Linked DNA regions of Rattus norvegicus. The protein of the gene in region 2 purifies or fractionates together with the protein of the main gene of each other region. This does not show direct contact. Links are inferred from orthologs where the notes say so. Each region holds a gene or a part of one and is shown on either strand. Other genes may lie near its edges.

What was found.
Region 1: the proteins of Ndufa4 (region 2) and Ndufa6 purify together in Homo sapiens (co-immunoprecipitation; 3 studies listed by BioGRID and IntAct, with this or other methods). This does not show direct contact. The link is inferred for Rattus norvegicus from reciprocal best matches to the Homo sapiens genes COXFA4 and NDUFA6.

What each region holds. Positions count from the first base shown.
Region 1 is NC_086025.1:115,744,729-115,755,084, reverse strand, and holds Ndufa6 (NADH dehydrogenase [ubiquinone] 1 alpha subcomplex subunit 6), read left to right. Parts: upstream 1-4,767; 5' UTR 4,768-4,785; coding exon 4,786-4,930; intron 4,931-7,660; coding exon 7,661-7,776; intron 7,777-8,387; coding exon 8,388-8,519; 3' UTR 8,520-8,625; downstream 8,626-10,356.
Region 2 is NC_086022.1:40,969,508-40,980,589, reverse strand, and holds the start of Ndufa4 (cytochrome c oxidase subunit NDUFA4), read left to right. Parts: upstream 1-5,030; 5' UTR 5,031-5,149; coding exon 5,150-5,191; intron 5,192-6,241; coding exon 6,242-6,330; intron 6,331-6,878; coding exon 6,879-6,939; intron 6,940-11,082. UniProt on the Homo sapiens protein: Component of the cytochrome c oxidase, the last enzyme in the mitochondrial electron transport chain which drives oxidative phosphorylation.

The sequences.
Region 1 (10,356 bases), on a different chromosome or scaffold from region 2:
ACAGGAGCACCATCAGGGAGCACCTTTCTCACAGGGCCTCTCTTACAGTGGCAGAAGTGACCCACTCTTCTCCAAGGCTCCTGTACCCCATTCTCTCTGGCCTTCTAATGACCTGAGCATCTGGTGATCCCTCCTCTCACCTGCTTTTCCCTCTCTTCTGGCTCAGTTCCATCCCCGCTGACACACACCACACACCCCTCCCATGGAAAACTAGACTTCTCTGGAACCTGGAGATCCTTCCCAGCTCCTACCCTTACTGCCCCACCCTGCAATGCAGTCTCCTCCAAGAATGGTCTACAGTGGGTGTTTACACTGCTCCCCCTTTCCCTCAATACACAACCCACTGCAGTGCGCTTTGAACCCATGAAGCACTTGAAGCTAATTGAAACTTAAAAGTTGTCAGTCTCAGCCCCATCCCTGATATACTCTGGTCACCATCCCAGTGTGCCAACCATCCCAGTGGCCTCCCTTGTCCATGCCATGCACTCTGGTGTCTACCTCTTCCTAAAAACACCTCTTCTGTCTGTTGATGTCTCATCTTCTAGGTTTCCTCCCACCCCTCATGTTCTTCTTCCCTGATTGGCCTAAAAGTGAGTGTTGCATCAGGTCATTCTGGGTCCACCTGTCTTCTATCTTTAGCGTATTTTCAGTTTTATGTACCCTTTAAAAAATAATTTGGGAGTATGGTAGCACACACCTTTAATCTCAGAATATATATATATATATATATATATATATATATATATTCTCAACATGTAGCCTAGGCTAGCCCAAAACTCACTATATTACCTCAAACTCCAGGTCCTTCTCTGTTCCCTTCCTCACCTAGAGTACACATTCATAGTGATTGTGAAATGCTTCCTTTGCTGACTGCCTGAATGTTGTGGGGCAGCCCACCTCCCTTGGTTTCTCAGCGAGGGGTTCTCCTATCTAAGAAGCCATTGGCAGTGCCTAGAAATTTGGTCTTATGTCTGAGACAGGTCAATGACAACATGCCTGACTGCATGGTTCTGCAGCTCACGTCTGTTGCTTCGAACCCTGGTTAGCATTTCAAAGCAGAGCTACCGCATCTTACTGAAACTGCTGCTTGCAATGTGTTCAACTCTAAGTTCTGTTAGTCAATCGTGTACCGGTGAACATATTATCAAGCTCATCCTGCAAGGAAGCTAAGAGGAGGAAAGGAAATAAGACAGGCTCTAGGTGAGAAGATAAGAGGAAGGAGAGGACAGCCAAGAAGGAAGGGATGCAGAGAGAGCAAGACTGGGTCCTAAGGGTCCTTTTTGCTGGCTTGGGTATGGGATGACAAGGATATTTACCAAGCACGCCCATCTGGATGACAGTCAGTGATCCACAGAGACTTGTGTCAGTGTCCATGCAGCCTACAAACTGGGAAGAGTGTTAACACCAGCTAAACCTGGGAGTCGGGCACACGGGCCCTCCTTTTGCAGGGAGGGTATGGCATTGTAATGGCTTTATGACAGACGACACCTCCATATCTGAGAAGGGCTTCACACCAATTGCCTCGAGGTGGTTTTAAGTGTGCCCGGTCAGAGGTAGCCTCCTCACAAGTATTCCTTTGGTTCAGTTCAATGTGATCAATGATAAGGATGCAGTAAGAAGAGTGAGTGCCACGTGAAGTCCTGAAGACAGGAAGTCACAGAGTCGTGGGAGGACTTAACACCGGGCAGCCGATCCTCTAAATCAAAAATAAGAAGAGAGCCTAGCAACATCCCAGTGTCATCCATTCACCCAGCCAGTTTGCCGAGCTCCCATGTGGGGCATGGCTGAGGGCAGAGGAAGGGCACAGACCCTGCCCCTGAAGGTACTCAGTGATATCAAGTGGGTAACAGTTATTCCTACCCCTCCAAACGTCATGAACGTGGCTGAATCACGATCATATGCCTATAGGTGGCTAAAACTCAAGAATGTCTTGGTTTATATGAAATGCCAATCAAGACGGAAAAGGCTACATTTTAGACCTTAAAACAAGTCTGAAAAAAAAACTAAATTTTAAAAATGTATCCATATGTGTGTGTCCATGTTCCTGTGCGTGTGGGGTAGGGGTTGGGCACATGCATGCAGGTGTTCAATAGGGACCAGAAAAAGTAACTGGTCGGTTGGGGATTTAACTCAGTGGTAGAGCGCTTGCCTAGGAAGCGCAAGGCCCTGGGTTCAGTCCCCAGCTCCGAAAAAAAGAAAAGAAAAAAAAATCACTCTTACCTCAAGTTTAGGGGTTGGGGATTTAGCTCAGCGGTAGAGCACTTGCCTAGCAAGCGCAAGGCCCTGGGTTCGGTCCCCAGCTCCGAAAAAAAGAAAAAAGTAACTGGTCCCCTCAGAGCTAGTTATGCTAGTTGTGAACCATCCAACATGGGTCTATACAGAAAGCTACAGGTTAACTAGGTTTCAAAAAGAAGGGGAGAGGATGAAAGAAAAAATACAAAAAGCAAAAATCATTAATAATGTGGTGGTTTGGCCCCCAATAAGTTCATGTATTTGAATGTTAGGTCCCTAGTTGATGGAACTGTTTTGGAAGGACTAGGAGGTGCGGCCTCGTTGGAGTAGGTGTGGCCTTTGTTGAAGAAAATGTGTCACTAGAGGTGACTAGAGGCCAGCCCAGTCTCTCTCAGTCTCCAGCTTTGGGATAAGATGTACGCCCTTAGTTACTGCTACAGTGACATTCCTGCCGGCCTGTTCCATGCTCTCCTCCATGCAATCTATCCTCGGTGCGAACTCACCCTCTGGACTGTCCGTAAGCCCCTGCTAAATGCTTACTTTTTAAGTTCGCTTGGTCATGGTGTATTCAGAGCCACAGGGTTGTAACTAGGACAAGTTGTGAATATGTAAACCAGTAATTATTAAATGCCGTGTGCTGAACATATCTGTGTGTATTATACTTTGACTGGAAGTACTATGTTTGTTTTCATCACCACAAAGATATCCATAATGATGGTACAATTACTATATTAAAATGTCATTCGGCAGCAATTCTCCAGCTTTATTATATAGCATAGAATATATATGTCGTAGAATATAGATATAGCACAGTCATTATATGGAGTATTATTGTACACATTTGGGTCTGTGTTTGCGCACTTGAGGGTATGTGTAAGGGCAAAGGTCAACCTCTAATGCCCTCCTTTAGGCACATGAGACGGGGCCTCTCACTGGGACCTGAAATTCCTGATTAGGCCACATGGAGTGACCCGTAGATCTAGCTATCTCCACCTCCCCTACAGACATCATTTCTAGCCTTTTATTTTAGGTGTTGTGTTTTGAAACCAGGTCCCCATGCTTGTATAACAAGCCCTCTGCTGACTAAACTAGGGTTTCCAGTGTCAGGGAGTATATACCCATCGAAATATACAAATATGGGCTGGCAGGATGGCTCCATAGGCAAAGGCACATTCTACCAAGCCTGATGACCTGAACTGACTTCTGGGACCACATGGAGAACTCTCAAGACCTGTCTTCTGACCTCTACACACGCACGCACACACGCACGCACGCACGCGCGTTTCAAAAATATTCAATGGAAAGATATCTACTATCATTTGACAGGATAATGGCTGAGTGATTCCAGACCACACCCACACCAACCAGAGTCACATGGCAAGGCCAGTGTTCATACACTCAGTCCTGTCCCTTGTCCCTTCCTCAATGTCTTCAGTCCTGGTCAACTGAGCTTTCAGGAAAAGACAGTGGCTTCTAGTCAGGGATCAGGCAAGGAAGTGATCTAATGTGACAAAGATTCTGTACTGTTCCCTGCCTGTAAAATAAGGGTTCTGTTAATACCTACACTATGAGCTTAAACCACATTAAAGACTTAGGGTTCCACTTGACATGTTGTAAGTTTCTTTTTTCTTTGCACTTGATGTCCAGTGAGAATCTTAATGAGTCATGCCAGCAAAGCCAGAGGTACCCAAATGAATGACTTAAGGATTCTTCCAGCTTCCATGGTTTAGGATGTAAATTCCTTGTCTAAAATGACGATGATTAGGCTAGATGTAATAGCACCCAGTACTAAGGAGGCTGAGGCAGGAGGATTCTGGAGTGCAAGGCCAAATGTAACCACAGGGGCTGGAGAGGCGCCTCAGCGAGTGATTAAGCATCTGTTCTTACAGAGGACCTGAATTCAATTCCCAGCTCCACAAAGTAACTCACAACCGTCGGTCCCAGGGGAATCCATCGCCTTCTTTTGGCCTCCGTAGACACCAAAACCACACGTGGTGCACAGACATACAAACAGCCAAAACATCCATACACATTTATTTACAAAATGGCAACCACAAGTTCGGTGGACACAAACCTGCAGAGGCAGAGAAATCACTGCAAGTTCTGAGGCCAACCTGGCTGGTCTACATAAGTGAGTTTAAGGTCAGCCGCAATCAGACGACAACGAAAAACAATGACAATAAGTAAACAAACAAACAATATGGAGTTTTCATTATAATCCCGGGGCTGAGAAACGGCACAAAGCTCAAGCCGGAGGCGCTTTTGCGATCTACACCAAGTCTAGAAGAAAACTGTTTCTGCGGAAAGACCGCCATCACCCGGCTGGAACAACAAACCGACCGCTGCCGGAAGCCTCGACGCTGCGCTCCCTGGTGGTTCTTCAGCGCCGCGGTCGAAGGAGCCAACCACCAATCGGTGTTTCCGCGGTAGAGCATGCGCATGGCAGAGCCCGTCCAATCGGAGAGCCCCAGTCAATCCACCGCAGAGGGCGTGGCGTCGCGTCCTGTAACGCTACGCGTGCGCGCGCTGAGAGGGCGGGGCTTCCTTAGCAAGATGGCGGCCGCGGCCAGCGGCCTGCGCCAGGCTGCTTCTGCAGCCAGTACCTCGGTGAAGCCCATTTTCAGTCGGGACCTGAAAGAGGCCAAGCGGAGGGTGCGCGAGCTCTACCGCGCTTGGTACCGGGAGGTGCCAAACACTGGTGAGAGGCAGGGGTGCATTCAGGGCCCCGGAGTCACCAGTCCAAGGTGCCGGGCTGAGGTCACCTACTAGGACAGAAATGAGCCCTGGGCTTCGGGGGAAGGGGGTCACACGGACCAAAGTGCCCCACCCCGGGACAGGGCTTCCGAGAGCCCTAGTCGCTTTGGTGGCCTTTGTTCCTATGTTTCTTACAGAGCCCCAGGGAGGAGCGAGCAGGGACTATGAGAAAGGAATTGACGCGTCCGCGGTCCCACGCTAGCCCCAGGTGTTTCTGGAACCCGACTTTACAGTTCCAGAAAATGTTCCAGATGCCCATTAGACTTTGTAACTAAAGTGGCAAAGGGCTTTAGCAGTTATCCATTACCCAGTCTGGAGAACACACTGCATCCATCACGAGAGGGAAAAGACTAGACCAAGGTCATCCAGTAGCTTCCTGGTCCCTTTGAAGCCTCCTGACAATGACCCCTCGAGTCTCCGTAACCTCGCTCACTAAATCAGCTTGCTCCAGAATTTTGAAGTCTAACACCTACTGCTGCAAAACGCTCTCCTTTTCCTTTAGGTGGCGGAGAATCTCAGTTCACCTGAGTGGTGGGTGGGAGTGTGCTCTCTTGGTTGTCTCCCTCAATGCTGCCACTGTAGTGGATTTTAAAAAGGGGTGAGTGAGAGTTCAAATGTCCTACAAATGTCGGGGACATCTTTTCTTGTTGAGTAGACATGTATTTAACTTGAACCACCACAGCTGATCTGAGGGGAAAGGCATTTTCCAATGAGTGGCAGCTCCATGACAGGCCTCAGCACTGCAGAGAGGTAGCCACACTGTCCTGAGGTTCTGACCCTTATTAGCTGTGTGACCTTGGGTAAGATTTTTCACCGGTATTTGCTCATCTGTGAAATAGCTAGAATACTGTCTTCTTCAGGGAGTTACTGTATTTAATAGGTTACTATAGTAACTGACATAAAACTTGGGGGAGGCACTGATGGGGAGAAGATTCCTCCTAGTTCTTAGAACACAGACTGGAGTGAAAAACCCACGCCAACCACAGGCCCACGATTACCTGACAGCAGTTATAACACTGCACTCTTCAGTCTCTGGGCCTGATGCTTCACAAATACTAAGGTTCTGAATGGCATGACCGGTTCTGTATCAGTTTGCATTGTCAGTTTGTCATTTTACAGTTCTTTCCTGAAATCCCTGCGTGCAGGCTGACCTTGGTGACCAGCTCTCTGAGAACTAAAGTGTTTACCATTTCTAGTCACTGAATTTGAGTATAAAACTCAAACCTGATTTAGACAACACATGATTTTTGTCTGTGTGTTTTTGTGACTTTTTGTTTTGTCTGAGACAGTGTCTCACATTGTAGCATTGGCTGGCCTGGAACTTGCTACATAAACCAGGCAGTCCTTGAACTCAAAGAGCCATCTGTTTCTGTGCTACCACCCTGGGCTTGTTTTGTTTTTGTTAGGATTTGGCCTCAATCCTTTGATCTATCAGCCTGAGTTCTCAGTACTGGGACTAAAGGCATATGCCACCATGGTTGGCTGATGGCAGTTTTATAGATCGGAGTGGACATGTCACAAGAATGGCCAAAGCACAATAAATATACTGACCTCTGTAGCCAGAATGCCTGTAAACCCTTGATGATGTCTCTGTCACCTTCCTTCCATCTAACACCTTGTAGTGCTTTTGTATCCTTAAATGTCCTCAGCAAATCTGCCAAAGGCCAGTGTCAGGGTATAAAAGTGACTAAAACCTGCTTTTCTTTCTTTTGAAACAAGACCTTGCTGTGGATCCATAGTGCCACACGGCCCAAGGCTGTAGGCTGGGTTACAGGCCTGTTACCACTGAGTCCAGTTTACAACCTAATCTCCAAAAACCCGGTCCATGTGGCACATTAAGTTTCGTCACTTGAGTCTGTGCCACTGTTTAGCCACTGACTTAATGGATTGGTGGATATTGTGACTTTTAAAATATATTCTATTACTTTTAAAATCATGTGTGTGGGGCGGGGGGAGTGCAGGTGAAAGCAAGTGTTGGCAGAGGCCAGAGGCACGTGGGGCCCTGGAGCTGGGGGTACAATGTGTTTTCAGTTGTCTGACATGGTTGCTGGGAATTGGAAAGACAGTATGTGCTCTTAACTCCAGTCTCCCCCCTTTTTAAGGGAAGTTTATTGTGTTCAGTTTCGGTCCCTTACATGGGGTTGGGGGCTCAGGGTGGTGTGGCTCATGGATCCTGGGAGGCAGCCGTGTATCTTGTTGCAGTCGTGGGTTACTGTTCCACTCTCAGTTAAGGCCTAAAGTCTGTCCTTCCCCAGGTGGTCTGGTGGTTTGAGTACAGCCTGCCCTCCCTGCGCAAACCCTTAGCAGTGCCCCTCAGCTCCCAAACTCATAGTTACAACCTACACTGCGTCATTTTACACAGACTTCAACTCTGGTGCCTTTATTTTTTTCTGGTTATTCCATATAAAAATATTCCTCAGTGACCAAGCCCTTGCCTAACATGTGCAAGGCCTAGACTCTATCCCCACCTGTTCTGCCCATACAGAAAAAGCAAGTGGCCCATTCAAGAGTTCTGAGATCCAGGCTCTGGGCGATTTAGTAAGATGTGTGTCCAGGCTGGGGGTTGGACTGTGTGGCATGAAGCCACTTGTACATGGCCAGCAGTCACCACTGACATAAGCTTCTAGAAGCATGTTTAAGAGGTCTGATTTCCACAGTCATGTTTCCTCTTTAGTGCACTTAATGCAGCTGGATATCACGGTGAAACAAGGACGGGATAAAGTCCGAGAAATGTTCATGAAGAATGCCCATGTCACCGACCCCAGAGTGGTTGACCTCCTGGTCATTAAGGTAACTGACCCTCTCTGACAGACTTAAAAGTTCTGCTGGCTTGTCCTGTGCCTCTGAGTTTTCAAGTAAATTCTGCCTTGATTAAAAGACAGCTGCTGTGTTTCCAGGTTCAACTTGGAGGCCCCTTTTTTCTTTTTAAAGCCAAGATTTCACTATGTAGTTCTGGCTGTCCTAGAATTTGCACTGTAGACCAGGCTGGTCCTGAGATCCACTGCCTCTGCCTCCCAGGTGCCAGGATTAAAGGTGGCACCACTATACCCCATTGGAGGTCTCCACTTTTGAGGTGGTCTCAGTATATAGCCTGGGCTGGAACTAGACATCCTCTTGCCTCAGCCCCCACGTAAGCTTGAGATTACTGAAGGGGAGGTCTGGGGCAGGGGAGGGGGACACTGCAGCTTTAACAACGTAAAGTAGGAAGTGGGAGTTCCTATGGGATGCCACCCTGGGACACCTGGCTCACTGTCTGCAGCCACAAGAAGGCAGAGTGGTTCTGGACATGGTAATCTACGGTCATTGGCAAGTCCATGCCAAACACAACACAGAGCTGAACTTGAGTGATGTGTTGTTCTTTTGGTGGCTGGAACTGACCACCTCTTCCTTCATGTACACAGGGAAAGATGGAGCTCCAGGAAACCATTAAAGTGTGGAAGCAGCGGACACACATTATGCGGTTCTTCCATGAAACAGAAACACCAAGGCCAAAAGATTTCTTGTCCAAGTTCTATATTGGCCATGACCCATGAGGTCACCTGATGGGAAGGTGCATGTTAATATTTAATTATCTTAGAGTACAAATAAACCCATTATTTGATGGTCGTGATAAAGTTGCACTGGTGAACCCTTTTCCTGTGGTCTCTCTTACTTCTTGCCTTGGTGTGGGGCCTTAGTGCCCATGCTGTGATTACTCCCTCTCCTGGAGAAGGTTGTTTGCTGCCGACTGAGTCAGACCCTTTTATGGGAAAGCAGGAAAGGCTATGTGGTTCTGTCCAGATCTCCCACAGTGGACAGCTGGAGGGTTGTTACTGTGCTTGTACTTATGTATGAAGCTCCCAAGACTGGGCTTCTTGGCACCAAGGCTCTGGGATCAGAGGGAACAGAGCAGCACCGTGGGGCAGCAGTAGAAATGACTGCACTTAGAATTGCCTCCTCACTGTGCAGAGTACACTGTTCAGTGCAGGCACAACTGTCCTACTACTTCTGCACATTTTTGTTTCAAACAGGATCTCATGTAGCCAAAGATAGCCTTGCGACTCCCTGTGTAACCAGGGGTGACCTTGAAGTACTCATGTTCGTGCTTCCACCTCCTTCCCTGGACAGTCCTGGATGCTGGAGGAAGGCACTCGGGGTCTCAGGGTTTAGTTACTGAGTGACCCCACGGCACCAGGGATCCCCCTTTGCCCTGAGGGCCCAATGTTACAAAATATTCTACTAAGCAGTAACAAAACTGCATGACCAGAACATGACAACTCCTCCAGGCTAAAGGCTTCAGTCAGCCTAAGTGGCTTTGAGGCAAGTCTCTGCTGGACTTATGTAGAAAGTAAAAAAATTTCAAGTTGGGGGAGGGGTGTGTAGAAAGACGGTTCAGTGATTAAGTGCACTTGCTGCTCTCGAAAAGGACCAGAGTTAGTTCCCAGCACCCACATCAAGCAATTCATAATAACCTTTAACTCCAGCTCTAGGATTTAGATTCCAAGAGCACCTGAAAACAGACACACAGTTAAAAATAATTTTAAGGGGTTGGGGATTTAGCTCAGTGGTAGAGCGCTTGCCTAGCAAACGCAAGGCCCTGGGTTCGGTCCCCAGCTCCGAAAAAAAAGAAAAAGAAAAAAAAATAATAATTTTAAAAGAAAAAAGGTCTCCGTCCCCCTTAATTGCATGTGTGGTTGTGTAATAGCCTGGATATCCTGGCTCTAAACCAGATGCCTCTTAGACACAGAAGAGACAAAGTCCAATTAATCCTGCAGGAGTGAGAAGTGGGAACGACCTTTCATCATCCATGACTCATTTATTATATACTCATAATTTGCTTGCTTGTTACTTCCAGTGCTCTGTAGACAGCGTGAGGGAACCTCCCAGAGCACAGGATTCTGGGCTGTTGTCACAAACCATGAGAGGTGAGGCTGAGGGCTTTCCTTGACCCTTCTGCCGACGGAAGGAGCTGAGCATGCCACCACTCCATTCATCCGTGCTTCCTCCTACACTCCCTGTGCCCTGTAAGAAAGATGTGCATCAGTCACTTTTAAGGCAACCTCATACAGCCCAGAGTCGTCTCAAACCCACTGCAGCCAAGGATGATCTTGAAGTTCAGGTGTTCTGTCTCCACCTCTCCAGTGCTAGGATTACTGGTGTGTGCCACCAGCTCTGGGGCATTCCTCTTCTGTTTTCCGCCATAAGCTCTCCTGCCGGCCCTAGCTGTCCTTGAGCTCTGCCTCTACTTCAGTGCTGGGATCACAGAAGCTCTCCATCTCATACCAGGCTCTAGCAGTAGCCACTTTCAAATAGGAGGGGAGAGGAAGATGACCAAGACAATGAAGAGTGGGCAGGGTTACCTGGTGGAGGGAGGATGGGCCAATACTTGGA
Region 2 (11,082 bases):
GTTAAGTCCAAAAGTCCAGCTACCCAGAGACCAGCACTTACATGGTAATAATACAACAGGCAAGTGTGGTTTCATTGTGTGAAAGCAAGAAGCCTGCACGCAGAGGTGACCACTTACAAAAATGGTGACCCGGGACAAAGGGGCACAAGTCTCTTAAAGGAAACTAGAGGAATTTTACCAAAGGCTAGGCAGTCTCCATTGGTGGGTTCCCAGGAAGTCACACGACACTGATGGGTGTTTCCAACTGGCTGGGTGTTTTACTATATTTGGTGAAGCCTTGAAAATTCCAGGAACCAAGTCAGCTCTGACCATATCCACCCTTTGTCAGTCACCAATAACTAACAGCCCATTGTTGGCAGCTCCTTCTGAGGAACTCAGTTGGCTTCCCTGGGAAACCAAGATTTCCATTCCCAAGGGTTTTAATGTTTTCAGGGGACCTCTCACCATGCAGTTACTTTAATCTGGGGTTAGAAATAACTTTTACATCTTCACCACCTAAAGGATAAAACTCCAAATCTCAAATTGAGTTAACTTTTTCAGCCATGTCTCCTTCCTATGAAACCAAAGTCCCACTATGCTAAAGTCACCCTCTTCCATACACTATGGACTTATAATAAAGCTTTCATTTCTCTCTGTGTTGTTAAGAGCATGTTATATATAGAGACTACAAGGTTCCTTTCCCCCCACTAAGTCTATATGATATATACTTTGTCACAGTTTTAATAATTCCTATATTATTTGTTCTTTTTATGAGTGTATACATATATTCCTTTGAGAATACATGAATAATGGCAGTCATGTGGAGGTTGAGGAAGGCCATCAAGGATTGATCCTTGTCTTCTATCTGGTTTGACACAGAGTTCCTTACTGTTGGCTACTTCATACTCCAGGCTAAGTGTCTTGTGAACTTCTTGGGTTTGTCTCTTTTCTGTAGGATCAGAGATGCATGTGGCTTTACCTGAGTTCTAGGGATGAAATCTCAGGTTCTCATATTTGAAAGGTAAGCGTCTTTTACCATGCCATCTCCCCAGTCTTCTTTTTATATTATTTTTATTTTTAATTTTGTATGCTCCTTTGACCAAATCAGGTTACCTGTCTAAGCTTGACACTAGCCAGAAGAATAAATATAATTTCTCCAAGGAAAAGCATTAAATATGTGAACAAAGGGCCCATATAAAATATTTTTTTTAAAAATTACAACCATTTTAGTCTCTCTATTCAAGACACTCAGGTCTCCACTGTGAGTGCTCAAAGTGCATTCAGCACTGGGAGAACCTAAAACTCCATCTGTCAGTATCCCTAACTCAGAGTCTAAGATCTACAAATGATACTGTAAAACCCCCTTTTATTATTTTTCTTCTTGTCCTTCCTGACTTAGTTTTTCTTTCTTTCCTTGTTTTTCCCCTCCCTTTATCAATTTCTGCAAGTGATGCAGAACTGAGTTACATTCCCAGTCTAATACTGTGTTTTCTAGGGTTTTTTTCTAGCATTGTTTTTGATTGATCAAAAATCTATGAATTGGGGTTGGGGATTTAGCTCAGTGGTAGAGCGCTTGCCTAGCAAGTGCAAGGCCCTGGGTTCGGTCCCCAGCTCCGAAAAAAAAAAAAAATCTATGAATTAACAACAACTTGAATTGCCATAAAACAGATACACATAAATTTCTACAGAGAACAGGGACTGGGGACTGGATACATATACTGAAGAGAATGAGGACTGTATACAGGCACTGACATGCAACAGAGTTAACATAGGGAACAGTATTTAACTGCACCATGATTTTGGCAGTGCTCCTCCTTGGTTCTGGCTTGAATCCATGTAAGGAGTTCATAAGCACAAGCACATCTATCCAATTATTTCCTCTGGAAGACTGGAGAAATGTAACATCAATTCACACCTCAAACAGTCGCAGTTTTTAAAACCCTAAGCTAAGAGTTCTTTTAGCAATATATAATCTGCTTCTCTTCTAATTGAACCCTGCGTCATTGGCCAAACCTGTAATTCTTTTTGAGACAGACAGCCCTGCTAATCACAATTACTATGACTTGAAACAAGAAAGCTTTCTTTCCTACTTTCTAAGCACATCCATCATACGTAAACAACGGCTCTTTCCAAATAGTGTTTGATCTCACACCGAAGCTGATACCACGGTTTTGAACATAACTTGATCTTGTCATGATGGGAAAAGAGAAGAGAGAGAACAGCACACACGGGAGCCAACAATTCTGTATGACAGGTGGAATTCTCACATTCCATTCCCTACTGAGGAAAGTCACCTTATCAAAGCTGATGTTACTGAGGCAGTGAGATGGCCTCTCTTTCTAACAGTAAGCAAGAGGAATTTGTAAATAACAAAGTCACACTGCAGTGTTCAATGCCCCCTCTACATTAGCTCTTCTAAACTGTCCCCTCTACTATCTCCAGCCCTACTTAGAATGCAGCTCACATATTCTTTCCTCTAACTTTAATATGCAAAATTTAAGCTTTGACAATTGGACCTGTGGTGGGTTGGTTACAGTTTAGTCAAATGTATACTGTGCAATTCTGCTTTGTTAATATTTCAACAGACTTCATCTAGCTATCATATTATTATGTCTAGGAACTAGGCCAATAATATTATTTTAAGAAGCAACAAAACAGCAAACTTCTAGACTTTACTTGCTTTTGGATTCTGGCATTCCTGTATATCTGCTTACTTTTTATTACCAATATTTAACATTCCAAATGAAATGTTCAGCAAAAGTCGTGTAATTCTTTTGCTAGCAGCCTGGCTATGCACACTACCGTTACTTCCCTTGTTCACATCTGAGTACTCTCTGATTATTAACATAACCATACTGGTTACCATAGTATTACCAAGATCGTTACTCCCTCGGTGATCTCCTTGCTTGTCTGAACCAGTCACTCATGCTTCCTTGCAGTACTCTTTCCCGCTGCTGTTCGTTATCAGACCTTGGTAAGTTCTGCTTTTCCTTCAGGTTTCACCTCAGATGATAGCCCCAGAGGCATCGTTCCTTGCCCACTTTAGCTCAAGTCATCTTCTCTCCCATGTCCTTTCTCAGTTATTTATTTTACTGGCACACCTATAACTATCTAAAGTTATCTGCATATTACCTGCTCTTCCTAGTCAACATGGTACATCTGTTAGAGCACAGTAATTTTTTCCTTCTATTCTAAATCCCTAGGAGCTGAATGTTGTGTATGGAGGTGTATGTTTGTAATGCCAACTCTTGGAAAGCTGGGGCAGGAGGATCTTGAGTCAGAGGCCAGCCAAAGCCAAAGCAAGATATGGAATAGACTAGGTGCTTAGCAAATGTTTTCTGGGAGAGAGAGAGAGAGAGAGAGAGAGAGAGAGAGAGAGAGAGAGAGAGAGAGAGAGAGAGAGAGAAAGAGAGAGAGAGAGAGAGAGAGAGAGAGAGGAGATATGAATGGATGAGTGAATGAGTGGAAGAATGAAAAAGGAAGGAAAAAAAAGGAAGGGAAGGAAAGGGAAGCACGCCATAATCTTCAAAACTTAGCACCCATGTTCCCCTCCTTGCAGGTTTTATCTAAACAAGCATGCTTGAATTCCTTAGTTTGATCCTGAGCCTTTTCTCACACTATCTCCTGGCAATTTTAGCCAGTCATACAGCTCATTTCCTAATTAATAAAATGACTCCATTTATTTCCTACTCTAGATAAGCATTCTGCTCTCTAGAAATATCGTAGGTTTTGCATAGACACTCATCCATTTCAATAATTGGCATGGGTATTTTCACAGCTGATCACCACTAAACTTCTGATATTATTATCTTTTCCTCATTCGCTCATATGTATCCAACCATTAGGTCCTGTTAGTCCCCCAAAATTTCTCTGAGATTTTTGGTGATTTTTTTCCCCAATCACCTCATTCCCTCCTTTAGGGCAACTTAAAATTCTCTCACATGGATTACTACAATAGCCCTTTTCTCTACTCTGTTCTTCAGAGCCAAATTCTTTCCAACTACACAGTCTTTTTGGTGAGCTTCCTAAAGTCCTGAACATAAAGTTCTTGTGTAAGTGGTCCCTGGCTCAGATGTGGCCCCTACTTTGCCTTCTCTATTCCGTAACTTCCACAGTAGACTGTACGTTTCTGAACTTTATGTGAATTGTCTTCCTTACACACCTCCACGTGAAGCCTGTAGTGAGCTAATGCTACCTCTTCAGTTTAGCAGTTTTGGTGAAGACACCTCCTCTTTTTAGTTTTATTACTTAAAAATCTTTAAGATAAGTAGGGAGTTGGAAAGTGTCCAAATTGTTGGCTGTGATTCCAAACTGCCCATTAAACCCTCCCCAAAGAAAGACTTTTGGGTAAAAGTGAATTTACAAAGAGATAAATGAACATTGAATCAGGGCGATAGAAAAGGATAAGTTCAGGAACACGATCAATGAAGATAAGGACGCAACATCTGGAGCAAAAAGAGATGGTGGCACGTTGCAAAACTTCAGAAACCACACTGTAAAAACTATGGCCATCTTTATGTCACTTACTAGTGTTTCAACTTCTGTCCCTAAGCGCCAGTGGAAGACAGGAAGCAGCTGCAGTCTTAAACCGCAGCCGTTGACCCCAGCGGCTGGAGACTCGACCTGTCCTGCGGGATTTGGGCGCTGCGCCTGCAGAGGCGCCTGGCAGCTCCCTCTGGGGCTCTCTGAGAGGCCCAGCGCGCGCACCGCACGCGCGCCCCCAAGCGCGTCAGCGCGCGGCCCAGGCCTAGAGGCGCCGCTAGGGAAGCCGCGCTCGCCAAGCGCACTTCCAGCCGACCGCCGGATGACCCTGATCTACACGCATGCTGTCCTGAAAATTGCCTGTCTTATCAGTCGAGACGCTCTGATTTCTGTGCAAAAATAATCCTATCAAAAATATGCATAGTGGAGAACTAAAGGATGTTTAGCTTAACAATGGGAAGAAGTGCTGGTACCAGTTAGGGCGACCGCGCGAGGGCTGAACACCCATTCAGGCACCATAGAGGACAGCCGCATCCGGGCTTTCCTACTGCAGGCTGCCCTCCCAGCCAGGGGTCCTTCAGGTAGGAGGTCCTGGGTGACTTTGGACGTCCGCTCAGCCAGGTTGCAGAAGCGGTTTAGTGTGTGTCCTAATCTTCTCTCTCGGTGTAGGTAGGCCTGTGCCGCAAACATGCTCCGCCAGATCCTCGGGCAAGCCAAGAAACATCCCAGCGTAAGTTCACGATCTTTGCCAGAGTGGGCTCTTAGCTGTGATTGCGCCTTCCCGTGTCCCCTGGGGACGTTCTCTTTTCTCTGTTTCTGAGGTTGGCCTAACCTGATAGCTCGAAGTCTCTACTGGGGGTGGGGAAGGGGTTGCCTGAAGCCGAAGGTGTCAGACATCAGGGAAAAAGGTAAACATTCTGAGTGTTGGAACACTGTGGCCACCGATCTCTCAGGTTACTTGGTCCCAAGAAGGGTGAGTGGTATATTGAGTGATTAGAATCCAAGAGAGACCAAGTTTGTTATGCTGCCTTTTTGAGGCTATTATATTCACCGGATTGCACCACCAAGCCTTCAGAAATACAAGGGGTCGTCGTCATCTTGTAATCATAACTTTGCTTGGAAAACATGACATTTCCAAAATGTGTTTAAGTTTTCTTGACATGTCACTTTGGTTCAGTTTAGCCCAATATAGTAGGATGCTGTGTACCTAAAACTCCCTTTGACAGGCCTTAAACCTTGCCTTCAGCCTGGTTAGCAAAATTAACAGCAGTCAGTTTTCAGAGTTCATTCCTAAAACCAGTGCTTTTAATAAACATTTCTGTCAGCTAATTACACTTATGTCACAGAGGTTATGTTCACAGAACTTTTCAGGGCCACTTTTCAGTAGTTTTCAAAGGGGCTCCCCTCCTTCCAGCCTTCTGGGAAAGTATTTCCCATTACTTCCAGGGAAGCACTGAAATTTAATGGGAGTGTTGTTCGAAGTGTTACAAAGGTGAATGTACTTGATAGGATTATTTGTCGATATGATTTACTCCATGGATCCACGTAAGGAAGTTGGACTCTTAAGCCAAAACCATCCTAGCATCTTTTTACAAAGACTGTGCCTTTAGAATACAGTTGAAAGAAACACTGCTTCATGAGTTCAACCTTTATTCCATTGTAGGACGTTAGTGAAATAGCAGATTTGGAGGTTACCGTGGAGGAAGAAAGCAGTATGTTCTTATTTGGACAAGATCAAGGAATGTGATGATGGCTACTCTGTTTGTCTATTTGTTTCTAGTTGATCCCTCTCTTCGTGTTTATTGGAGCAGGGGGTACTGGAGCAGCACTGTATGTGATGCGCTTGGCATTGTTCAATCCAGATGTCAGGTGAGTGTAAGGCTTAATACTTGGATGGTTAAGAGTCTGGGCTGGGGACCACGGTCCCGGGAGAGGTAATGGAGTAGAAACAACTACAGCTTTTAGCTCTCAAGTCAGCCCAGGGCTTCTTCTGCTGCTGACATTTACTTTGCTGGCTTCCTGAACTTACCTCATCTCCCCAAGTTTTAGATTCCTATTGGTAGAGTAGAATTGCTAATACCAACTCTTACATTTTGAAGGTTGGGTTTTTTGGTTTGTTTGCTTGCTTGCTTTTGTTATTGCTGTTGCTTTGAGACAGCCTCACAATGTACATCTGGCTGTGCTGGAACTCACTCTGTAAATCAGGTTGGCCTTGCTAGTGCTGGAATTAAAGGCGTGCACTACCATGCCTGGCAACCATTGTTTTTTATGAAATACTTAACTGTGATTACTGTTGTTGTATGTAAATGTAACCTAAGTGAAACCTCAAAAAACTAGTTTCTAACAAAGCATTTTTAACACACTATTGTAAGCAGTGTTTTATTCCTGTAATAATTATAATGTTTTATCCATTTTAGCTGGGACAGGAAGAATAACCCAGAGCCTTGGAACAAACTGGGTCCCAATGAACAATATAAGGTAAGGTAGAAAACTGCTAAAAGTTGCTGGAAAGTGTATTGTAATAGACGTGGCTTTGTGGTAGTTTTCTTGAAATGGGGTATGCAGGTAAAAATCCCATTATCATTGTAATGAACTTTGAAAAGCCCTGCCCCTTGACTTAGCTGGGACTGATGATTTGCCTTTCATAAAGGTTCAGATGCTGCTGCTATTGACGTATGGGCGACCCTGGTCTCCCTGGTGATTTGCTCAGCTGCTGCTTCTTGGTATGATTCAAACATTTTAGGTGAAGATTAGTAGGAAGAAATGAAAGTCAGTTGAAATTAAATTTTGCCATGAGCCTCGTAGATAAACTTGAACATCTTCCCAGAGGAGTGTTCTCTGTAGCTATTTTTTGAAAGAACGTGTTCATTCACCGAGACAATAGTTTCACAATTGAAGCCTTTCTTATGTGTAATGTTTTCACATGGTAGACCCTCACATGTATTCGGGTATATGTTGTGCAGTTTATCTATTTAAAGTGTCCCAAATGTTTTCTGTTACATCTGACGGTTTCTGGGCACCCAGTAATTTGCCTTAGCACTCAGGGAGAGACACAGTGAGCCTTCTCTGACTGACACCTGAGGAAAGTCTATGGTAGAGATAGGTGCCCTGTAGTACTGTTCATTGCAACTTTTAAGATTTTATTCTCTATTTGCTTAAAGCTTTGTGCTTAACTCAACTATAATTTGGCTTTTAAGTATTTAAGCTTCTGTCTTCTAAAGATACAACTGGAAATTTACTAGCTACACCGAAACAGGCTGTCTGATATGTATTTTTAACAATGTGCTCAAGAAACAGTAAGCAGGTATTCTCCTTTGTGATTTTGTCGTAGAACTTTATGTAGCAGTTATTTGGGGAAGGGGTGTGTCTGCATCTAAGAAATGTTTTTAAGAAAGGAGAAAAAAGAACTAGAATTTGGATGTTTGACCAAAGAACATATTGGAGTAGTATATAAATGGTTTCCAGGAAATGTACCAGATGATTAGAATGGTTATACCTGTTGCCAGTGCCTTGGAAAATGATGGCACAGGGTGATGTGAGGCCATGTGAACTGGAGGTGGGATGTTGTTGCATTAAAACCCTATTTTAGAGCTGGCTGGCGATGGCAGCACACACCTTTAATCCCATCACTTGGGAGGCAGAGGCAGGCAGATCTCTGAATTCTAGGCCAGCCTGGTCTATACAAAGATGTCCTGTCTCAGACCCAAATGTTTGCTGCATAGCCTGACCCTTAGTCCCTGTAGCTAATAACAGGCAGACATTGAAAAAAAGTTGCCATATTGAAATACAAATGAGGAAAACTAAATCTAGAAATTTGAAAGCCTGGAATGAATGAAGACTACTTATTTTTGCTTCTATGCCCAAGCAGTGAGGTAAACTAGGTGTTATTGTTAATTTTTCTGTGACCTAAGAGAATTTTTTTAGGACAGGGTTTATGTAGCCTTGGATGTCTTAAGAACTCATTCTGTAGACCAGGCTGGCCTTGAACTCAGAAATCTGCCTGCCCCTTAATCCCAAATGCTGGATCTAAAGACTCCTGCCTTCACCTAAAAGAATTCAAAGGAATTTTCCTTATCCTGCCCATAGACATCAGATTTAGCCATGTCCTTTTTTTTACGACAGACATGAGGTGAAAATATGATGTTTACCACTCTTGACTATTTGGGTTTTTGATTCATTCTTTCCATTTCTCTTGAGAACAAAAGTGATATATAAGGGTTTCTCATCAGACTTAAGATTAGACAGAAGTGAATGTGGAGTACTTAATCTAAAAACAACAACGTAAATAAAAACGAAAGGTGATAAGGCAATAAGATTTGAGGTGGCTATGATAAAAAGTCTCATAGATAGGGAAGTTTAGGCAACAGAAGTTTGTCAGTTGTGGAGCTGGGACGTATAAGATCTATGCTTTTACAGAAGGAAAAGAGACTATCTGTCTTGTTTTTCTTTTATAAAGAAAACATTCTGGTTGTGATGACTGTGCCCTCACAACCTAATTACCTTCCAGATGCTCAGTTAATCCCATTGGGGGCTAAAATTTGAACAGACATTTCAAGAAGACATGAATATTCAGTTCATAAAGGAGGTTATTGTTTCCCCAAAGCAAAAGTGAATATAACAACAGGAGATTAGGCAAAGATGGGATTTAAGGATTAGGGGTCTGGAGATAACATCAATGAAAGAAATGCTCAAAAACCCGGATTAAATATATCCATCTAGGATGCTTTCGAGGTAACCACTGTTAAGAAAAACAGCAAACAGCAGAGATGTGGACTTAAAGAAATAAAGGAAACTTCAAAATTACTTGCACAGAGAAATTTAAGTGCACAGCCATACATCAAAAGCCTATTAGCTTTTGCGGGGGTGGTGGGGAACACTCTGTTAAGGCAAGATCCTTCTACATAGCCCTGGCTGTCCGCTGGAACTTAGTGCGTTGGCCAGGCAGATCTTGAATTCACAGATACCTGCCTGCCTCTTTGCCTTGTCTCCAAAGTACCGGGATTAAAGGCATGCACCATCATGTCTGGCAAAACAGTTGGTTTAAGGAAGTAGCCTTGGCTGTCTTGGAACTTGATATATATTTTAGGCTGATCTTGAATTCACAGAGATCCACCTATCTCAGGAATGCTGGGTTTAAAGGTATACACTACCAGCATCACCACACCTGACTGTAGTTTTGTTTTTAAAGATTTTTATTATTTGAATACATATATATTGGTGCACCTAAGTGTAGGTGCCTACCGAAACTGTGGGTGTCAGTCTGTGAGCTGAAGTTACCAAGGTAATTGTGAACCAACCCACATAGGTGTTGGGAACTGAACTGTGGATGATCCTTTAAGAGCCATCTCCAGCCTATAAGTTTAGTCAGCTTTAAGTAAATTATACTTTGATATTCAGTTGGATTTTTATAAAGCAGCGAGGATTGTGAAGGAAATGTAAAGGAATGTGGTGATTAAGATAAACAGACGAGCTATTTGCTGTTGCCATCCACTAGGTGTTTATTTTCTTCATGATATATATTATACCTGCATATAATATGTGAATTAGAGATTACTATTCTGTTGCCTAAGTAAACTGATTCTTAAGACACAGCAAAGACTATTAACGGTTTACTTAAGATGTCCTGTCCCACAAAACCCTAGGTCTGTGTGTATGTACCTAACAAAGACATGGCAATATGCTTTCAAATTTCGAGATTTTCCTTTTTTAAAAATCAAGTAACGGGAAGGGGGAGTTGAACTAGTAAAGTACCAACCTAGCACATAGAAAAGCCTATGTTCAGTCCCCGGTACCTTTAAAACTGAGTGTAGTGGCTTTCAGTCCAGTACTTGGGAGGAGGAGATGGAAAACCTCAGGTCTTAAGATCCTCCTCAGACGTACCATGAGGCCGCCTTAGGCTGTGTGAGAAGCGTGTGTTTGAAGCAAAAGGGGTTTGAAGAAATGTTTGGAAACAGATTTTTGTGAGCCACTTGTTTGTATGTTTTGTTTACAATGAGAAGGAATGAATTTAGGCCCTCACATAGGTTAAGCTACTCCTGTGCCTTTGAACTTTGACAACAGCTCTAAAGTTTTCTCTTAATACAAACTGTCTTAGTCACTCTTACATTGTTGTGAGGAGACACCGTCACCAAAGCACTGCATATAAAAGAGAACATCTAATTGGGGGCTTGCTTACAGTTTCAGAGCCTTAGTCCATTACATCTTAGCAAGGATGTTGTGGCATTGTTGCAGGCAAGTGTGATGCTGGAGAATATACATGGAGCTACAACCTGATCTTCAAGCAGAGAAAGAACTTGCCTGGTGGGGGCCTTTGAAACCTCAGAACCCACCTCTAGTGACTCACTTCCTCTAGCAAGGCCACACCTAATCCTTTAATCCTATCAGAAGTGTCTCCATGGTAACTAAGCATTCAAATATCTGACCCTATGGAGATCGTTCTTATTCAATACAGCATACAAACTCTGGAGAAAATGCATGATGACTTTTGTAGATAAGTCATGTAATCACTAAGGAATTAAAACATTATCTCCTCAATTTCTTTTAGCACAAGAATGAGTAAAACTAAGATTATAATCTTTTTTCCAGTAGAAATTCCAGACCAGTTTCAAATATTTCATTTTT